Tribolium castaneum: one gene and its partners. The protein of the gene in region 4 binds, or shares a complex with, the protein of the main gene of each other region. Links are inferred from orthologs where the notes say so. Each region holds a gene or a part of one and is shown on either strand. Other genes may lie near its edges.

What was found. The genes of interacting proteins can lie anywhere in the genome.
Region 1: Mgtor (region 4) and Nup54 share a complex: the UniProt entries of both Drosophila melanogaster proteins name them as parts of the nuclear pore complex. The link is inferred for Tribolium castaneum from reciprocal best matches to the Drosophila melanogaster genes Mgtor and Nup54.
Region 2: Mgtor (region 4) and Nup98-96 share a complex: the UniProt entries of both Drosophila melanogaster proteins name them as parts of the nuclear pore complex. The link is inferred for Tribolium castaneum from reciprocal best matches to the Drosophila melanogaster genes Mgtor and Nup98-96.
Region 3: Mgtor (region 4) and E3 SUMO-protein ligase RanBP2 share a complex: the UniProt entries of both Drosophila melanogaster proteins name them as parts of the nuclear pore complex. The link is inferred for Tribolium castaneum from reciprocal best matches to the Drosophila melanogaster genes Mgtor and Nup358.

The regions. Positions count from the first base shown.
Region 1 is NC_087397.1:2,066,529-2,070,930, reverse strand, and holds the start of Nup54 (probable nucleoporin Nup54), read left to right. Parts: upstream 1-1,206; 5' UTR 1,207-1,306; coding exon 1,307-1,364; intron 1,365-1,820; exon of another isoform or gene 1,821-2,496; intron 2,497-2,546; exon of another isoform or gene 2,547-3,290; coding exon 3,291-4,031; intron 4,032-4,077; coding exon 4,078-4,402. Other genes in the region: sra (protein sarah), read right to left, coding at 100-572, 618-810. UniProt on the Drosophila melanogaster protein: Component of the nuclear pore complex (NPC), a complex required for the trafficking across the nuclear envelope. Essential for the nuclear import of nuclear localization signal (NLS)-containing proteins in an importin alpha/importin beta-dependent manner.
Region 2 is NC_087403.1:3,513,946-3,518,567, reverse strand, and holds the start of Nup98-96 (nuclear pore complex protein Nup98-Nup96), read left to right. Parts: upstream 1-1,426; 5' UTR 1,427-1,618; coding exon 1,619-1,682; intron 1,683-1,732; coding exon 1,733-1,861; intron 1,862-3,602; coding exon 3,603-4,366; intron 4,367-4,622. Other genes in the region: uncharacterized protein LOC656938, read left to right, coding at 1-319, 372-500, 550-680, 727-1,070, 1,114-1,227, 1,281-1,348. UniProt on the Drosophila melanogaster protein: Part of the nuclear pore complex (NPC). Required for MAD import as part of the Nup107-160 complex and required for nuclear export of Moe probably via its association with Rae1. Plays a role in nuclear mRNA export.
Region 3 is NC_087394.1:28,910,837-28,915,192, forward strand, and holds the start of E3 SUMO-protein ligase RanBP2, read left to right. Parts: upstream 1-1,160; 5' UTR 1,161-1,300; coding exon 1,301-1,375; intron 1,376-3,152; coding exon 3,153-3,378; intron 3,379-3,429; coding exon 3,430-4,356. Other genes in the region: Ars2 (serrate RNA effector molecule homolog), read right to left, coding at 1-22, 373-531, 579-700. UniProt on the Drosophila melanogaster protein: E3 SUMO-protein ligase. Component of the nuclear pore complex (NPC), a complex required for trafficking across the nuclear envelope.
Region 4 is NC_087394.1:8,225,154-8,229,447, forward strand, and holds part of Mgtor (nucleoprotein TPR), read left to right. Parts: intron 1-1,401; coding exon 1,402-4,294. UniProt on the Drosophila melanogaster protein: Component of the nuclear pore complex (NPC), a complex required for the trafficking across the nuclear envelope. Functions as a scaffolding element in the nuclear phase of the NPC.

The DNA.
Region 1 (4,402 bases), on a different chromosome or scaffold from region 4:
CATAATAAATGAGTGACAGATTCTACATAGAGAGAAATTGACATATTGAGAGGCTCTGAAGCTCACACTTAAAATAACCTTGAAGACCTGTACAAATCATTAACTCCGTTCCGGACACGACGTCTGTGGCATCCTGCCTTTGGCCCCCACGCCGTCCGCCCCCAGGGCCGTGTGCACCACGATGCTGGGCTGGCCGGGGGAGGGGGGGTGCACCTCGTGCGACGCCCCCGGCGTGAGGGTGGCCAAAGCTGCAAGAAGGTCATGATTGATAATGGGCTCACCTTCCGGCCGGGGCTCCCAGTCGAGGGGGGGCGACGCCGGCGGCGAGATTAGGAACTGCTTGAAGGGGGCTGGCGGCTGCAGGCTGGGGTTTTTGACGGGGGTGACGGGTTGAGCAAAGTAACACGTAATCACTGAGTCGTTGATTTTGTATTGGTGGAGCTGAATGCGGGCGCTGGCGGCTGCCACGGGCGTCTGGAAGTTCACTCTCAGTCTTCGGAAACTGCGCAGCCACTGGAATGTCACGTCCGGGTCGAAGTTCCGGAACAGGTTCTCCATTTCGCGCTTTTTCTCTGCAATTTTACGGTCAGATCGGGTGAGGGCTGGGGGCGGATTACCGGGCGAGGTGAAGACACTGTCGTGGATGTTGGTGACGATGAGGGACGTCGGCAGGTCCTCGAACTCGTCGTCGGTCACATGCTCGGGGCTGTCGATGTCGGCCTCCGCCAGCAGGTTGGGGTGCACGTTGGGAAGGCCGTCTTGGTCGTTAATGATGATATCGTCGTCCATTTCGCCGTTGCTTTCAGCCATTGAAAAATTGGATTAAATTCACCGACACAGGATCTACCGCGGTTTAAACCCCATAAAACAATGCGCACTTTTTCGGCTAAACTAATCAAGGCTAACTCTTACGCTACTAAATTTTAACACAAAAACATTGCAATATCAAAGTGCAAAAAACACAACCCAACAATTGCAAATGCCAAATGTCAGGAATGAATGACACTTGACAAGGGGATGAAAGCCGAAAGTTCGCCAGCCCGAATTGAAATACAAAGGAATGAGCTTAAAAAAACGTAAAACCCTGAAATGGATAGATTTCCAGATAATTAACATAAACACATGAGCGACTTTTTGATTTCGTATTTTTTTGTACAGAAAACGCTGAAATTTTGTGAAATTGCCGGTGTATAACCTAGGTTTGAAGTTTGACAGTTCTGTCAATTCGTTAAGTTCAATTTGTGAATACATAAAAAATTGTAATTACTATTTTTATATAAATACTAACGTTAAATTTAATGCAGTTATGGCATTTTCGTTCGGAAATGCAAACCAGTCGACTTTTGGAAGCCCGGCAAATAAACGTAAGTTTTAGAACCGTAAGAAAGTTAGGTTAAGTTCTTTCTATTTTGTTATTTGGTATTCACGGTTTTATTTATTTTCCCTTTAAACCGTAATTAATGAGATTTAATTTTGCCCAAAACGCCTGACTAATGTTTGTGTTCTTAATTTTTAACCAGAAAAAATCGAAAAAGTGGCAGCGTTTTGTACCATTCAGACTCAACAATACAAATCACCACACTTTTTACAGATAAAATGTTAATTGGTGTTTTAAATGGTTATAAAATTTAATTGTGATGATTGTTAACGTGTGAGTAACAATTCAACAATTTTTGTTTGAAACAAATCGCTAAAAAATGTTTTGTTTAGTGTTTAACTTAAATTTTTTGTCACGTCTGTGCTGCACAGTACACAAAAGTAATTTCATTACTTAACTGATAAAACATGAAAAACTGGACGTGTTCAATAAAAAACCTAGATTATAATTTATAAACCAAGAATTTATTTCGGCAATAACATTTTGAGGATATAAATAAACCTACCTAAGCGAGTAACAAAAATATAATGATAGTAAAATATAACAGATTATCACAAATATAATTAATACGATTTCATTCTTCCGTTTGAGATGGTAACTTGGCTCAAATCGGTTGCACAATCAAGCGATCCTGAACGGCTGGCTTTATATCGCTTATAAACGACGATAAGAATGACGATAATTAAGAGCAGACTGACGATTATAACTCCCAAAACAACGTACAAAGTTTTTCCCTCAACGTCGTATCCTTCGTAATATATTTGGTTCGAAACATCCGTAGTTGAAGAAAATACGTCAAGTGGGGTTGAAGTTGTATTTTGTGTACTGTTTTTTATTTCGGCCACTGCTGAAGTGATGTTGTTTTCAAAAATACCGATTGTTTCGGTCGTACTGTCGGTCACTTCGGTTATCACGGTGGTAATCGTTGTTGTAATATTTTGAGAAATCTCAGGAGTGGTAGCAGTTTCTGCAGTAACCGTACTGTTGGTTATTTCGCTGATGAGGGTAGTAGCTGGGGGAGTGAAACTCTGCCCAATTTTGAGTACGTTTTGATCGTCTGTGACTTGAAGGGTCGTTCCAAAACTTTTAGTAGCCCCTTTGATAGGAAATGAGAATAGCTAGAATCGGAATTTTTAAATCCAACTTGAAAAATAAAAATTAAACTCACCGTAGGGCCCGACATTGTGCTTTTTATTAGCGAAGGAAAAACACTTAACTCTGCAAGAACTTATCGGCGACTGAAAGTTTCTTTCCACGCTTTGAATTTTTATCGCTGGTGTTTATATGTGCGAACACGGTTTTCCTGCTTTCCTTCCATTCGCAGTAAAATAACAACCCGGGGATGAGTCACAAAATGCTGTTTAATGCAATTTCTTGTGGTTGGGATAAATAAAATCCGTCATTTTGTGATAACAAATTGGGAAAGCGGCACTGCAGTCGAAAAAAACTTGTTTTGAAATTATCTACGTGTTTAAATTCTTTTTAAAAAATTTGACTGGAATGACACTTGAAGGATTGAAATAATTTCATTTATTTCGTGTTTATTTCGTTTTTGCATAAATTTAAGTCTTAACAACAGCGTATTTTTTGCACGATAAGTATTCGCATAGTTCAAGTTTGACTTGCATTTTTTACCGAGGAGTAGTTTCCGTTTGGTCATTTCCCCGTAACAAATACTTTTTTCATGGAAATTCTTTTCTTTTCGTTGAAACAACCCAAATAGAAAAATAAATAATTTCAGGATTGTGGTTTCGTAGCCATTTCCTTTGGAAAACTACAAATTTCGCTGAATTTATTCAATTTATTCGATTTTTCCTGAATTAAAACGCACACTTCTTATCGTCTTAGATTATTTATTAATTTTTGTAAACACCTAGTCATAGTTTTATGTTTTTCCAATGTTTATCCACAGCCACCGCATTCGGTACCCCATTTGGGGTAACCACCACCACGGCTAGTACCGGCTTCGGCAGTTTCGGCTCTTCCTTCGGAGCCACTTCGCAGCCGTCGACCGGTTTCGGCTCAACTTTCGGAGCCCCAGCTCAATCTTCAGGTTTCGGTAGTACTTTCGGTACTCCTGCAACTTCCACTCCAGCATTTGGTTCGACTTTCGGAGCCCCAGCATCAACCTCAGCCCCGACATTCGGTACCGGCTTCGGTCAATCGACCGGCGGCGGCCTTTTCGGTACTTCCACAACCAAACCAACCCTTTTCGGAACTCCCACCACTTCAACCTCGTTATTTTCGACCCCTAGTTCGGCCCCCAGTTTATTCGGGAGCGGTACCACCACACAAGCCCCAAGTCTTTTCGGGGGGGTCACCACCTCGACTCCTAGTTTATTCGGAGCTGGCAGTACCCCAGCTCCGAGTTTGTTCGGTACTGCGACAACTTCGGCCCCGAGTTTATTCGGGACTTCGTTCGGGGGCACGGCCACCACTTCGGGGGGGCTGTTTGGGGGGAGTACAACAGGGGGAGGGTTTGGTTTATTCGGGGGTACTACTACGACGAGTGCGCCGTCGTTGTTTGGGGGGTTTGGGGCTACGCAAACAACAGGGGGGTTTGGGGGTTTTGGGACTAGTGGAGGGTTCGGTCAACAGACACAAGGGAGTTTGTTTGGGGGCGGGTTTGGGGCCAAGCCGGCACAACCTCCAGGTAAGTACCCGACTAGCAATTACAGGAACCTGTAATTTTTGTGTAGGGTTTGCGCAAAATGCGCTCACAACACAGCAACAACAAAACCAACTTGTGATCCAATCGATTTACGCTATTAATATTTATAATGATGAGAGGGATGATATTTTGAAAAAGTGGAATTTGTTGCAAGCTTGTTGGGGTACGGGGAAAGGGTACTACAGTGCGAATCAACCGCCGGTTGAATACACAGTTCATAACCCGTTTTATCGGTTCAAAGCAGTCGGTTATAACATAATTCCCGAACATGATAACACGGAAGGTATAGTCAAGTTGATTTTTAACCGGAAATATGCCGAGCTTAGTTCACAAAAGCAAGTTCTAATCAATGG
Region 2 (4,622 bases), on a different chromosome or scaffold from region 4:
GATCATGGAACACGCTGCCGTGACTCTCGGCATAGACCCGACCGACTTCAGACTTAAAAACATGAAGGCGGAGCACGATTTGCTTGCACAGTTCGTCAAAGAACTGTACAAGTGGGCTGATATTGACGTGCGCAAGCAACAAATCAAGAGATTCAATGAGGAGAACCGCTGGAGGAAGAAGGGATTGGCGGTTGTGCCAATGGTTTATCATTTCCATCTTTTTGGCAACTATGAGGTCGTTGTTTCCGTCTATAAATCGGACGGGAGTGTGGCAATCGCGCACGGGGGAGTCGAGATGGGGCAAGGTATCAACACTAAGGTGACCAGTGACTTTGTTTAAATTTGAACTAATCGTACACGTGTAATTGAAGGTCATTCAAGTGTGTGCCTACAAGTTGAAAATTCCAGTCGAAAAAATTTCGGTCAAGCCTAGCAATAATTTGATCGCGCCTAATGCCCACATGGTCGGTGGTAGCTTAACATCGGAAACAGTTTGTCACGTATTACCTCACTCTTGTTTTTTTTGTTTTTCTCAAATATCTATCACAGGGTGTGATTAAAGCGTGCGATATCCTGTTAGAACGCATGGAACCGGTCAAAAAACAGCTCGAAAATGCCAGTTGGGAGGAAATTGTGCAAGAATGTTACAATCAATATGTTAACTTGTCGGCCTCTTCAATGTATAAGTGATTCGTTAAGTAATTAATTTCCGAATAATGTTTTTAGGGGTAGCCCTTCCGAACTGAAAAATTACGCGATTTACGGCGTTTGCTCCTCCGAAATAGAGCTGGACGTTTTAACCGGGCAATATATCGTGCAAAGGGTTGATTTACTCGAAGATGCCGGTACTAGCATGAACGCTGGTATCGATATGGGGCAAGTCGAGGGCGCGTTTGTCATGGGCATGGGTTATTTCACGTCGGAGAAGATTATTTTTAGCGAAAGCGGCGAGTTGTTGACCAATCGCACTTGGAATTATAAACCACCAGGCGCGAGGGACGTTCCAGTTGATTTTAGGATCAAATTTCCGGGCGATACGCCCAATGGCGTTGGAGTTCTCAATTCCAAAGGTAAATAGCTTGAATATGGAATCATAACTGTGGAAAATTGTAGCTATCGGGGAACCACCGCTATGTTTGGCGTGTTCAGTCCCGTTGGCGATACGCAACGCCGTTGCGAGTGCCAGAAAGGAAACGAGAAATTCGTGCGATGAATGGTATCCTTTTTGTGAGTTTTTTGTTAATTTGTTACATAATTGGATAATGAATACAATTTTGTAGCGGGACCCTCAACTGTGGAAGACGTTTTCACGAACTGCTTACACGATTTTAAGCAATATACGTTGTAAAATAAAAAATTGTATTAATTGGTTTGGTTTAATAAATGATAGCTGCGCAGTTTGAATTTAATTTCGCGCCACTCGCAGGTGGCGCCACCGCTTTTTACAATAAAAACAAGATGGTTGTCGTAAATAAAATTTGCGGTAGTTTAACCGTCTGTTGTGTTTTTGTGGCAAAATATTAGTAAAAACCGTCGTGTTTTAATGTGGTGTTAATGAAAATCAATCGCTGCATCTCCTGTGATTTCTATGGATGCCTAACCAATTGTGGTCGTAAATATGTATCCCAACTTTATGAATAAGCCAGCATTCATGAATAACCCACCGAATTCAACTTTTGGGGGTAAGTTTGCCGAACTGAATCGGTGGTTGTTACCGTGGTTGGTTTTCTAGCGTCCACTTCGACTTTCGGACAACCTGCCCCCAACACCTCTATGTTTTCATCAATGCAGCCCTCGAACATCTTCCAGTCTGCGAGCACCTCGTCCTTCGCATCGGCGCCCACAAGCCAAACCAGCTTCGGTACGTACACCCAACAGTTGTTAAAGTTAGTAGGAAACAGAAGTAGTATAACCTCACACTTGCCCCCATGATTGCCCATTATTGTGCAACACGTTCCCTTTTTGTTTACTAACACCAAATACACTAATTTGTATTTTACTAACCCGTATGATGAGAATTGAGTTGGTTTGCGCGAATGAGAGAGTGATTTTTGACAGATCAGCATTGCGATAATAAAGCGTCTCGAATTTGTATTAATTTTATTATGATTGTGACAGTTGAGCCGCCTCTCCCGCTGTCTCCAGATGAGGAGAACTACCTGACGGCCGCCTGTGAGTTTCTATTTTTTTGTTACTTTCAATATTTTTCATGAATTTTTTACAGATAATCGCGAAGCTATACGTAGATTTGAGGTGCAGGGTGGTGGTGAGTAATATTGTTCTACTACAGCCTCGTTTACGTTTCCTTGTCTTTTCAAAATGTACATTCTTTTTTTAAAAAAATAAATAAATATGTAAAAATAAAACAGATAACGTTTCCTTATGAAGTTATGACGGAATATCCCATACAACTCTTGTAAAAAGACGATACTCTCTAGGTCTTTTATTTTTTGTATACAGGGTGACCTGACTAATATTTCTATGCCGTTTTCATGAATTCATAGATCTACTCCAAGTACAAACTAAACACCTTATATATAACATAGTTACATTCCACGTAAAAAATAATGTAACCTTTATACTTTTATACTATTAATAGTATCTTTTTCCTGGAGATTGTACACATTAGAACTAGAACTCGCAGACGTTTATTATTCTCACAGAATTCAAGAGTTCAACTAATAAAATAAAAAACAAAGTTATAAGGCATTTTACTTGATTTTAGATAGCCCGGGCTTGGTTGATCCAGCCATTTTGAGATACGCTGGTGCTGGTGAGTTTTTTTGTCATAAATTTATCTTTATTATTTTCTGGAATTTTTAGGTGAGATTTCTCCCAGACCACCGTATCCCGAATTTCATTCACCTCGCGCTGCTGAGCCGGGACCCTCTGGTAAATCGAAATTATTGTTAAGTTGGAATTGTTTCTATATTTTTTTTTATTTAGGAGAACAGAGAGTTCCACAGCCATTAAGCCCGTTTACTATTACACGTAAGTTAATTTAAGGTATTACGTATATATTAAGTAATTTTCAATAGGCCAAGATGGTAGACCTCTTAACCGACAATTGACCCAATATCTTCAAAGTAGTAAGTATTGCGACAGTTGAGCTTTTCGATTTTATTTTCTTTTAAGTTGGTGGTGGCGGTATTTCAGTTGCTTCATGTGTTTGTAAGTAACGGTTTGTTATTTTCGGCCAAAATTTTTTTAAATATTTGATAGGTACAACAACCAGTTCTATGACTTATTCTATGGCCAATATTTCCGATCCAGAGTTTGGTAAGCTAAGTCGATTGAAACAATTAATTTAAAAGATTCATAGGTTTAGCTGATGAGACAATGAGCGCCCATTGTAAGTATACTTCTTGTCTCATATATCGGGAGACACTCCTATGATTTGTATTTATTTGGTTATTTTATTTTATTGTTTAGCTAGTTTAACTAGGATGTCTTGTAAGTCGTCGTCTGGTAAGTGAGATATTCAATGATGGTTTTAACGGAATGATGTGTGATCCCTATCCATATCCTTTTTTTTTCCCAAGCACAGAATGGGCAATAGTCCGATATTTCATCATTCAGTTTCTTAATAAATCTGTCTGTAGGCACAAATCCCTTTGGCCAGCAACCACAACCATCAACTAGCGGTTTATTCGGTGGCTCAAATGCATTCACTCAAAATAAATCATTCGGATTCGGCTCGGCCCCTCCTCAGCCCGGATTATTCGGCCAACAGCCGCAACAACAACCCGGAACCTCTCTTTTCCAATCAAACACTAATACAATGTTATTCGGAAGTAACGCTTTCGGAAACCAGACCACCGGCACTGTTATTAAATTCAATCCGGTTACGGGGACCGACACCATGCAAAAAAACGGGGTAACCCAGTCGATAAGTACCAAACACCACTGCATCACGTGCATGAAAGAATACGAGAATAAATCGCTGGAAGAGTTGCGATTTGAGGACTATTCGGTTAACCGGAAAGGACCCCAACAACAGGCCGGTTTCGGAAGCACCCCTTTCGGGGCTTCGACCACTACAACGCCCTCGCTTTTCGGGCAAACTGATAACAAACCCGCCTTCGGACAACAACCGCAAGCATTCGGCCAGGCGCCGGCTTTCGGACAAACAACACCAGCTTTCGGATCGACCAACACGACAAGCACTCCGACTTTGTTCGGAAAACCGAACACTTTCGGCGCTACCACTAGCACCCCAAGTTTTGGGTTTAATGTCACACCGGCAACCAACCCTTTCAGCGCTAATCAAGGCGCCAAACCCTTCTCCCAACCCCTGTTCGGGACACAAACCACGCAAGCGCCCGCCACCTTCGGGGCCGGCGTTTTCGGCCAAACGAACACCCAGGTAAGCGCGGTTTTACTTCAAATTTCCGCGATTTTTGTGCTTTTAAGTGCGATAGTGCACGATAATTTTTACTTTAATTATAAATTTATATATCGTCGTTTATAAAAATTTTATTAGGATTATAATTTTGCAAGATATTCAGTACTTATTTATTAAGTAAAGTATTTTTGACCTTCTAAAGCTTATAAAGAATTATATAATGTAAATTAAAATGCATTAAAAATAAAGTAAAACAAATCAATGCACTGACCTTATG
Region 3 (4,356 bases), about 21 Mb from region 4:
TTCTCTGAAGAAATTACCAGCTCTTTGAAAATAGAAGATCACGCGTTAGTAACTGTTATTTTAAATTAAAACCGAAACAAAACGAAATCTAAAATAACAATTAAAACATGCGACTAATTACGATAAACATTCAGATACAGTTTGAGGAAACAATGAACGGTATTTTCTATAAAAATGCAAACCATGCAAGGCGATAAAATAAAACACACAATGGGGCAAAAGTCATTAGCAATTCCCTATTCTAGATTTCTTAACTGATATTATGTAAACAGCTAAAGCAGTTTTTAATTACGAGCATCATAATTTTTTTAATAAACCTTGAACGCTGGTGCACCATTTTTTCCATGCATTTTAGCAAAAACCAGCAACTACCTGTGCGAGCTTTGGTGATAGGGCGAGTAATGGTTGTAGTAGCTATCAGCATAGTAATCGTGGCGCAGCCTCTTGGGGGCTGGGTCCAGACTCGGCGAGTATCCCCTGTCTCTCACCCCCGGGCGGTACTCCCGAGGCCTAGGTCGTGACCAAGAGTCACTATAATTTCAACACTAGGACCGAATAAGCCTCGTATTGACTCTTACCGTTCGGCCCAGTCGTCCCTAGGTCTGGCAACCCGTTCGGCCCCCCTGTAAGTGGCTTCGGCGCGTTCACCTCTGAACTTATCGCGGCGTTTGCGGTCGTATTCATCGTCACTATCAGCCATTTCCTGCAATTAAGTCGGGAAAAGTGAGCACTAGCACTGAGCACCATGAGGGTGTAAGTAGTCAAAATGAGGGGGTGCTAACTGCGGGTGGTGGGTTACTGGTCTAGGTGGGTTCGATAGAAGACTCACTTTCTGTTCTAAAAATAATACTTTTGGCGATTTTCCGGCGAAAATTCGGATTTCTCTTGAGGAAGTTGATACAAAATTATGGCCGACACGTCAAAGACGCCGTGGGGGTTTTGCAGCCACCAACCTATGGTGGTATGACTGGTGACGCCGCATTATCGCAACATTTAAACGCAAAAAACTGCTCATTGTGGGATTATTTATTTTTGTTTCAATTACTACAGTCATGTAACTGAGTTGATAAGCTGTAAGAACAGCTACAACAGCCCGTAATTTGCATTTTTAATTTTTTTATTTGGATACCGGTCCCTCCAAAAAAGCAAAATCCCTAGCTTTGATTACTGACGTCAGTTGTAAGATGGTGGACGTCCGTTCGTGCGTTGTGAAATCTCATGTTGTAACGGTTTTATAAACGTTTTCTAAAATTTGTGAAATTGCTCGTTTAAATGTACGTTTGAGTGGACGCTTTTCAAAATGTTTCCCACAAGGAAAGCCGATGTCGATAAACACGTTGAAGAATGCTTGAAGAAGATAAATAACGAGACAGAGGTAAGGTTTTGAAATCGCTGTCATTCCGTTACGCCGGTCGAGAATTTCTCATTTTTTCGCGTTTTGAAAACGCGTTTGCTTATCAGAAAGGGCCCAAAAAACCATCACCCTTATCGATTCCACCTGTCCTAATTTTAAAAATTGCGTATCATTTATTATTGGAAGAATGTCTCACGCATCAATGTCACATGCAGGGAACCTTTGGCGGGAAATTATTTTTAGATTATAAAAATTCTTAAATTACGCTTCGTGTTAGGTCCAATTTGCCAAGATTTTTGGCAGTGTTGGCGAATCGTTGGCCTTTTTTGTTATCCAGCTGAGCCGGCAAGGTCATGCCTAATCAATAAATTGGCTAAACCCTTCTATCATTTGAAATACTCATTAACACAGTTATTAATTATTATATTTTGTAATTATTATTAATTTTGTTACACCTCTTACACCGTGGCGGCTTGAGGGTTCAAGAGTCAGTGAACAGCTAACAGCTAGTACACAATTTTTTTTTGTAGTTAATGATAGCTCCAAGTGCTCCAACATTTCATTTTTAACTTTAAATTTGTATGTGTAATTGTGTATGTATGTAAAAACTCGCCGTTACTTATTACAGAATTTGTCTCTGTATTCTTTAACTAAGTGTAATGTCTGGATTTTTTTTAAACAGCTTTGAGCTACAATCCATAATTTTTGCATTTGGACATGTTATTTCACAAGCTTTATGAATACCTAACTCAAAATCAATAACAATTTTTCTAGAATTAAGAGATAAATTATATATGAACATCTTTTAACAAAGTTGCATATTATTTTTTAGTTTTATTTAGTAACAAATCAAATACTAATGGTACGTAGTGCCCATTCCTAAAGCTATGAACGGTGAACATTTGACAAAAAAATCAGTACAAAATTCGAAGGTAACACCATGAAAAGTGTTTATACTGAACAAATAAATTTCTAAAACAACTAAAGACAATTGTTTTGTTTGTTCATCGACTCAAGATTCAAAATCTTCGTGCTTTTTGGTTTTTAGTTGTAATGTTGCTGCCAAATATTTCTTCTGATTTTCTGGAATCATTTTCTCTTAAGTCATCATCCTAATGTATTATTTTAGAATGTTTTTTACACAAATCTTTAACAGCTTTTTTTTTTACTGAGTTACTGATTATTTGCCGCGATATGGTTGAGTCTATGTTTGTGGAAACCAGAAAACTGTACTATTTTGTCTTCTTGAGGAAACTTCGGATATAATTTGCCACTAGCGTTTTTTACAATTTCTTCAAAAACTTTTCGGAAAAATATAATATTATAATCGTACTCGCACACTCGTAACTTTATTGAGTTATACCGACACTACGATTTTAAAATTCTAATAACTTTTGCTTTATATTGATTCTTCTTTCAATTCCTTTTAATTTTCAAACTGACTCTGGTGGGTATATTTCTAAGAAATTACTGTCTCATTGCATTGTCTCCTTAATGAGTCCCTATTACCTGGCCTACCAAGGGCATAATTGCACCCACTCTGTGGGGTATTGTGGTCGAACTCAGCTATCGGTTTAATCCCTAATTTTAGTATCAAAGGATTATTTTTGCAGCGGTGGACAAAAAAAATCAATGTTGGAGTTACAGTTAGGGTTGAATTGGCCTTCTTATATTATCCTCATATTTTGTCTGCAGTGCGATAAGCTGATAAAACACTAGACTTGATTTGTGATAGCTGATTAACTGTAATATTTCACTAATAAAGATACGTAAAATAGTAAATTTCGTTTTATTACAGCGCAATCTTCGTTGCCTGTCTTTCGCTAAGCAGTATTTCAAAATCGAGCGTTTCGAGGACGCTCGTCGTTACGTCTCGACGTATCTCAGTGCAAGACCAAATTCTGCAGAAGCTCATTGCTTGCTGGGCAAATGCCTGGAAGCACTGGGCCGTAAAGAAGCCGCTCTTCAAGCCTACACGACCAGCCTTCGGCTTGACTCCAAACAAAATAATCTCGTCCTGAAAGGTACGTGAAGGCTTTTTATTTTCTAATTTTTCGGCAACGTTTGCGTTCCAGTTTGCGAACTCTTAGCCTCCGACGACGTGGAAATGGACCATTCCGGTGCTCGGTACTTTTGCGAAATGGCCCAGTCTTTCGACCCTCACAATCCTGCCATCTTCAACCTGAAACAGCGCATCCTCACGTCGGAAAATGACGATCCTCGTGATGTCTCCAATCTGATTTTGAAGGAGTTAGAAACGCGGCCGACTGACGTCAAGTTGCGGGTGCGTCTGTTAAAACATCTCCTGCAACATCATTTGGTGAAAGAGGCGTACAAGCATGCTGCGGATATTGAAGCCAAAGACTTGGCGATTTTTTGCAATGTCACTTGGTACGAAGCCGTAGCCGAGGTCTTGGTCAAGTACCAAAGAACGGTTTCGTTGCCTAACTCGCTCGGTTGGGAGTTTTGGTTTTTGTCGGTCTCCGTTCTGGACAAATTGGCCGCATTGACTTTGTCCGAAACCAGCGAAAATATCAAAACTACAACCGAATACATCAATGCAATATTTAACTTTGACCAAACTTTGACAAAAGCTGCTCTCAACATCGGCGATTGTCCCGACAAACACCTCATTCAAGAATTTCTGAATCACCACAGCGCGCAGTTGTGCTTCCATTTCGTCACTTTGGTGTTTAAACAAGCACAAAAAGATCTTATTAAGTACAAGGAAGCCGCAAATATCACTCTACCGCTACTTTTCGCGGCTTATCACTCACAGCCACCCGATCTACAAAGCATGTGGTTCAACCACGCGCCTGAAAATCGCAGAAATTTGGTACGGAGGTGGCGAAAGGAAGCCGCGTTCAGGTGTTCACAAGCCGGGCATGTTTTACAAGCGGCTGCCAAAGACCGGAAGTCGATACTCATCGAGAAAGCCAACCAGTATTCAGTGGGCATGTGGCGAGAGCAATTGTTTAAAAAATTGTTCGTCACACGTGACC
Region 4 (4,294 bases):
GGAATTCAAAATAGTAATTTAAATAAATGTATTCTATTTCCTAAAATATTAACCATTGTATCTTCTGAAAAATATTGTTATTTAATGGCAATTCTGAATTATGAGTGGTTAACATATTTGAATTCATCTCAAAAAATGAATAAGCGAGTGTTTTATGTCTTGTGACTATCTTGTGACATTTTTATCGCACTTCTGTCACTTCTCACAAAAATAAATAAATAAATAGAATGCACTTAATGTGCATCTACTTCTGCCAATTTGTGGCTAGGCGTCTCATTTCTCATAGAAGAAAAATTATTACAATTAATATAGTTTGTAAATTTTATGAAGTACTTACCATTTTCTAAAATATGGCACTTTAACTATCACTTTTTAACACCTCACTTGTTGGCAATAAATAGAAAAATAAATATAACGGACTTATTTTATTTATACCTACTTCCGCTACAGTTTATAGCAACATACTAAAAAAATTAAAAACAAAATCAATACACTTTATTCATATTATTACATATTCGTTTCACTTGGGAGGGGGACATTAAGAATAAAATGTACTTATGTAACTTTATGGTATCTTTTTCTGGCACAGTTTTTAGCAAGTCCCATCAGATTATCTTCTTAATTACTTGAAAATATTACAAACTTAATATAATTTTCTAAAAGAACTTTTAAACTGTAAAATTTTTATTTTATTTATGAGGCGTCTCTTCACGACCAAAAGTATCAAATAAACTGAATAAAATTAAACGGCGCAACAATAATTGTGTAAAAATATCGGATAAAATCTCACCAAAAAAATTTTTGTGAGATAAGTAATGGTTCTAAGGTGGAAAACAAAGAGGTTCGTCTGTTTCATTGATTTTTGTTACGACTTCGTTACTTAAGGTTTTTTTGAGGTACCTACCTGACAATTACAGGGATGTGCATTTTTTAAGATCTAATCCTTGAAACTTATTACTTGAGCAAAATTGACAACACAGTTACACTTTAGCAAAATCTTTTTTGTAATTTCGTTATTTTAAAAGATACACAACAAAACTATGAATAATAAATGCACCAATTTTTTTCAATTATTTGTGTAAGTGGAATAACACAAAATTGTAGTTATTTTTTGTGTAAACATTAAAGCTTTAATATTTTAATAATCATATTGGAAACTGATCATCTAGAAAGTACTACTAAAATAGTAGTTACTCACTGAAATTAAAAAAATAGGTATATAAAAAATTACCGAATGGTTATCTATGAGGTACTAGTATTGGGAGAAACTCAAAAAATAGAGAAAGGAATCCTGAAGAATTACTTCGCTTCTTCGTTGAAATTGCAGTTTTTTTTACCGGGCGCTAATTAATATTTGTAAATTATTTTTACTATAATAATAATAAAACATTTTTGGCACAGGTTCAACAAATGCTGAAGCACGCGACTGATGAATACGGAGAACTGGAAACGAAACACAAAGAAATGGAATTAACTCACGAAGAAATTTTGGCTAAGAAGAATGAATGTATCACATTATTAAAGAAAGAATTAGAAACATCAAAAGAACTTTTAGAAAACTGCAAACAAGACCAAATACAAAAAGAAATCGAAGGTTTATCACCATCTGCAGCATCAGCATCACGTCTCTTAAAATCAGGAATGACAGTAACAGAAATTTACACACAATACGTAACAATTTCGGAACGACTGATCGACGTGGAGAAAGAAAATGCCCAATTGAAAAACTACATTAGCAGCATTGTTCACGAAGTTGAAGAAAAAGGACCACTAATTAAAAAACTACGCGAGGATTATAGCAACGCTTTGGACGCAAACGAAATATTAAAAAATTCAAACGATCAGTTGTTGAACGAAATCCAACAATTGCGCGAAGCCAACGTTCAGTGCACTAGAGTTGAGGAAGCCGTTTCAAGAGAGAATGCAAGATATAAGAAGGAAGTAGCTGATTTAAGCCGTCAAGTGTGCCATTTATTGCAGGAAATTGAAAATTCGAGAGTTGGTTCGTCTTCAACTTCGACTGACATGGACTTGAGCGATAGCGTCAGCTCTGCCGATATTATTACGAAAAAGTTGGTCACTTTTAACGATATTTCCGAGTTGCAAAAGAACAACCAAAAGTTACTTGCCATTGTTCGCGAATTGACAGAACGCCAGGAAGAAGCGGAAGCTTTTGATCCAGCGGCAATTTCCGATTTAAAAATGAAACTTGATCATTTGAGGGAATCTCAGAATGAACTGCTTGAAGAACGTGAACGTCACAATAAAATGATGATTACTTTAGGCAATCAGAGAGATATGTACAAGAACTTGTATACACAAGCTGTTAAAGCTGCAGGGGAAGAGGTTCCTTCTCAACTCGACTCTTCATTCAGTTTGAAAGAAACCAACGGGGAACACGACAAAAGCCACGATAATGAATCTCAAAGTGACGACAAAACACAAGAATTGCTCACACAGATTGAAAGTTTCCGGAAAAAAATCGAACACTTGAAGAATGAGAACGAACTATACCGTAAAGAAAAATCAGAGAATGAAAAAATTCTGCTAGAACAGTTAGAAAACATGAGGGCAGAAGTGAAAGAATTGGTTAAAGCCAACTGTAAGTTGCTTTCGCAACAGGAGAATAGTGACGAGAAGTTTAAAATTGCACAAAACAATATTGAAATTTACAAGAAACAGATCACGGCGTTGGAGAAACAGAATAAAATTTACAGCGAAACGATCATCAAGCATGAGCAAGCGATAACGTATCTTAAGGACGAAACAATGCAATCGCAAACGAAACTTGCAAGAGCTGAAGTAATGTTGGCAAATCTTCAGAAGGAGAATGCGTTACTTAAGGACGCAGAGATGCGTTTGCTTAAAGAACGCGAAAGCATAAAACGAGAGTCACACACGCAAAATATGATCCAAAGCAACATTGAATTGATTAAAGCAACGTTAGAACGCACAGACGCCGAAGGAAAATTGAGGCTGGAAGCGAGGTTGGATGAAGCACACCGTGAATGTGCCGCGTTAAGACGCCGATTACAGGAGGAACAAGACAGGTTTAGACAACTGTCCGAACATTTGGAAAGCCAAACACAACTTGCCAAACAACGTATGGGTGAGGAACAAGCCGAAGCGGAAAAACTACGAAAGGAATTAGCCAATAACAGGGAGGAATTGATCCAGAAAGCCAATCAAATCGAAGATTTGACCAAGAAACTCAAAACTTCTGCGTACGCAATACCGGAAAGTAACATCGATGGAAAACGAATCCGCGAATTGGAGCAACAACTAAGCGATGCTAAGGCCGAAATTGAAGCTTTGAGTTCGAAATTGAAAACATCGCGTGAAGCGGCTGAGCAATATTCCAACGTTGCAAGCAATGCTGAGAATCAAATGACGATTTTAATGGAAAAACAGAAAGAATTGGAGGAGAAGATCGAAAGTCAGAAGAACACGATCAAGCAGTTGCAGGAAAAATGCGCCGAGCTGGAGGGAGAATTATCGTTGCAAATGGATGATCAAGACATGGCAAATGCAAGCACTCGTAGCAAATCAACACAGTTGGAAGAGGAGCTAAATGTGAAAAATATGGACTTGCAAACGGCCCGCGAACAGTTGGAAAATATCCGAAATGAGAACAAATCACTCATCGAAAGTCTGAAAGCCGTTGAAAATAAGTTTGCGAGACAAGTGATGTTGCATTCGGCCGATCTACAAATGCTTACTGATATTAAAGCCGACTATGAGAAAGCCACAAATGAATTAATCGAAATGAGACGAAGTCGTGACTGTGCTTTGGAAGAACTCGACAATAATAAAGCTAGCTGGGAGACGCGGGAAAAAATGATCCAGAAAGAACGGGAAGAGTTGGAGCAACGTTTCAAAGACATGGATGCGCAAAACAGTCTATTGTTGGACCAGATTCAAGCTCTCAATACGCAACTATCTGTCCTTCAGGCACAAGCTACCGCAGAACCAAACCAATCGGCCGACTTATCGATGAGTAAATCGTTCACTGAGGACGAAGTCAAGTCTTCCGAACAGTTGCTCACTATAATTAAATATTTGCGACAAGAGAAAGACATTGCTGTAAGTAAATCCGAAATCATGGAAGCCGAATACGAGCGGTTGAAGTCACAACATGAGATGCTAACCAAACAGTTGGAGGAAGCCAAAGCTGCGGTCGAAACCGAGCGACAGAAGTCGGAAGTTTCGGTCGTGACGGCAGCCAAACATGCCGAAGTTTTACGCAAAGTTGAGACACTCAACGCTATCACTGATAGCAATCGAGCGCTGCGTC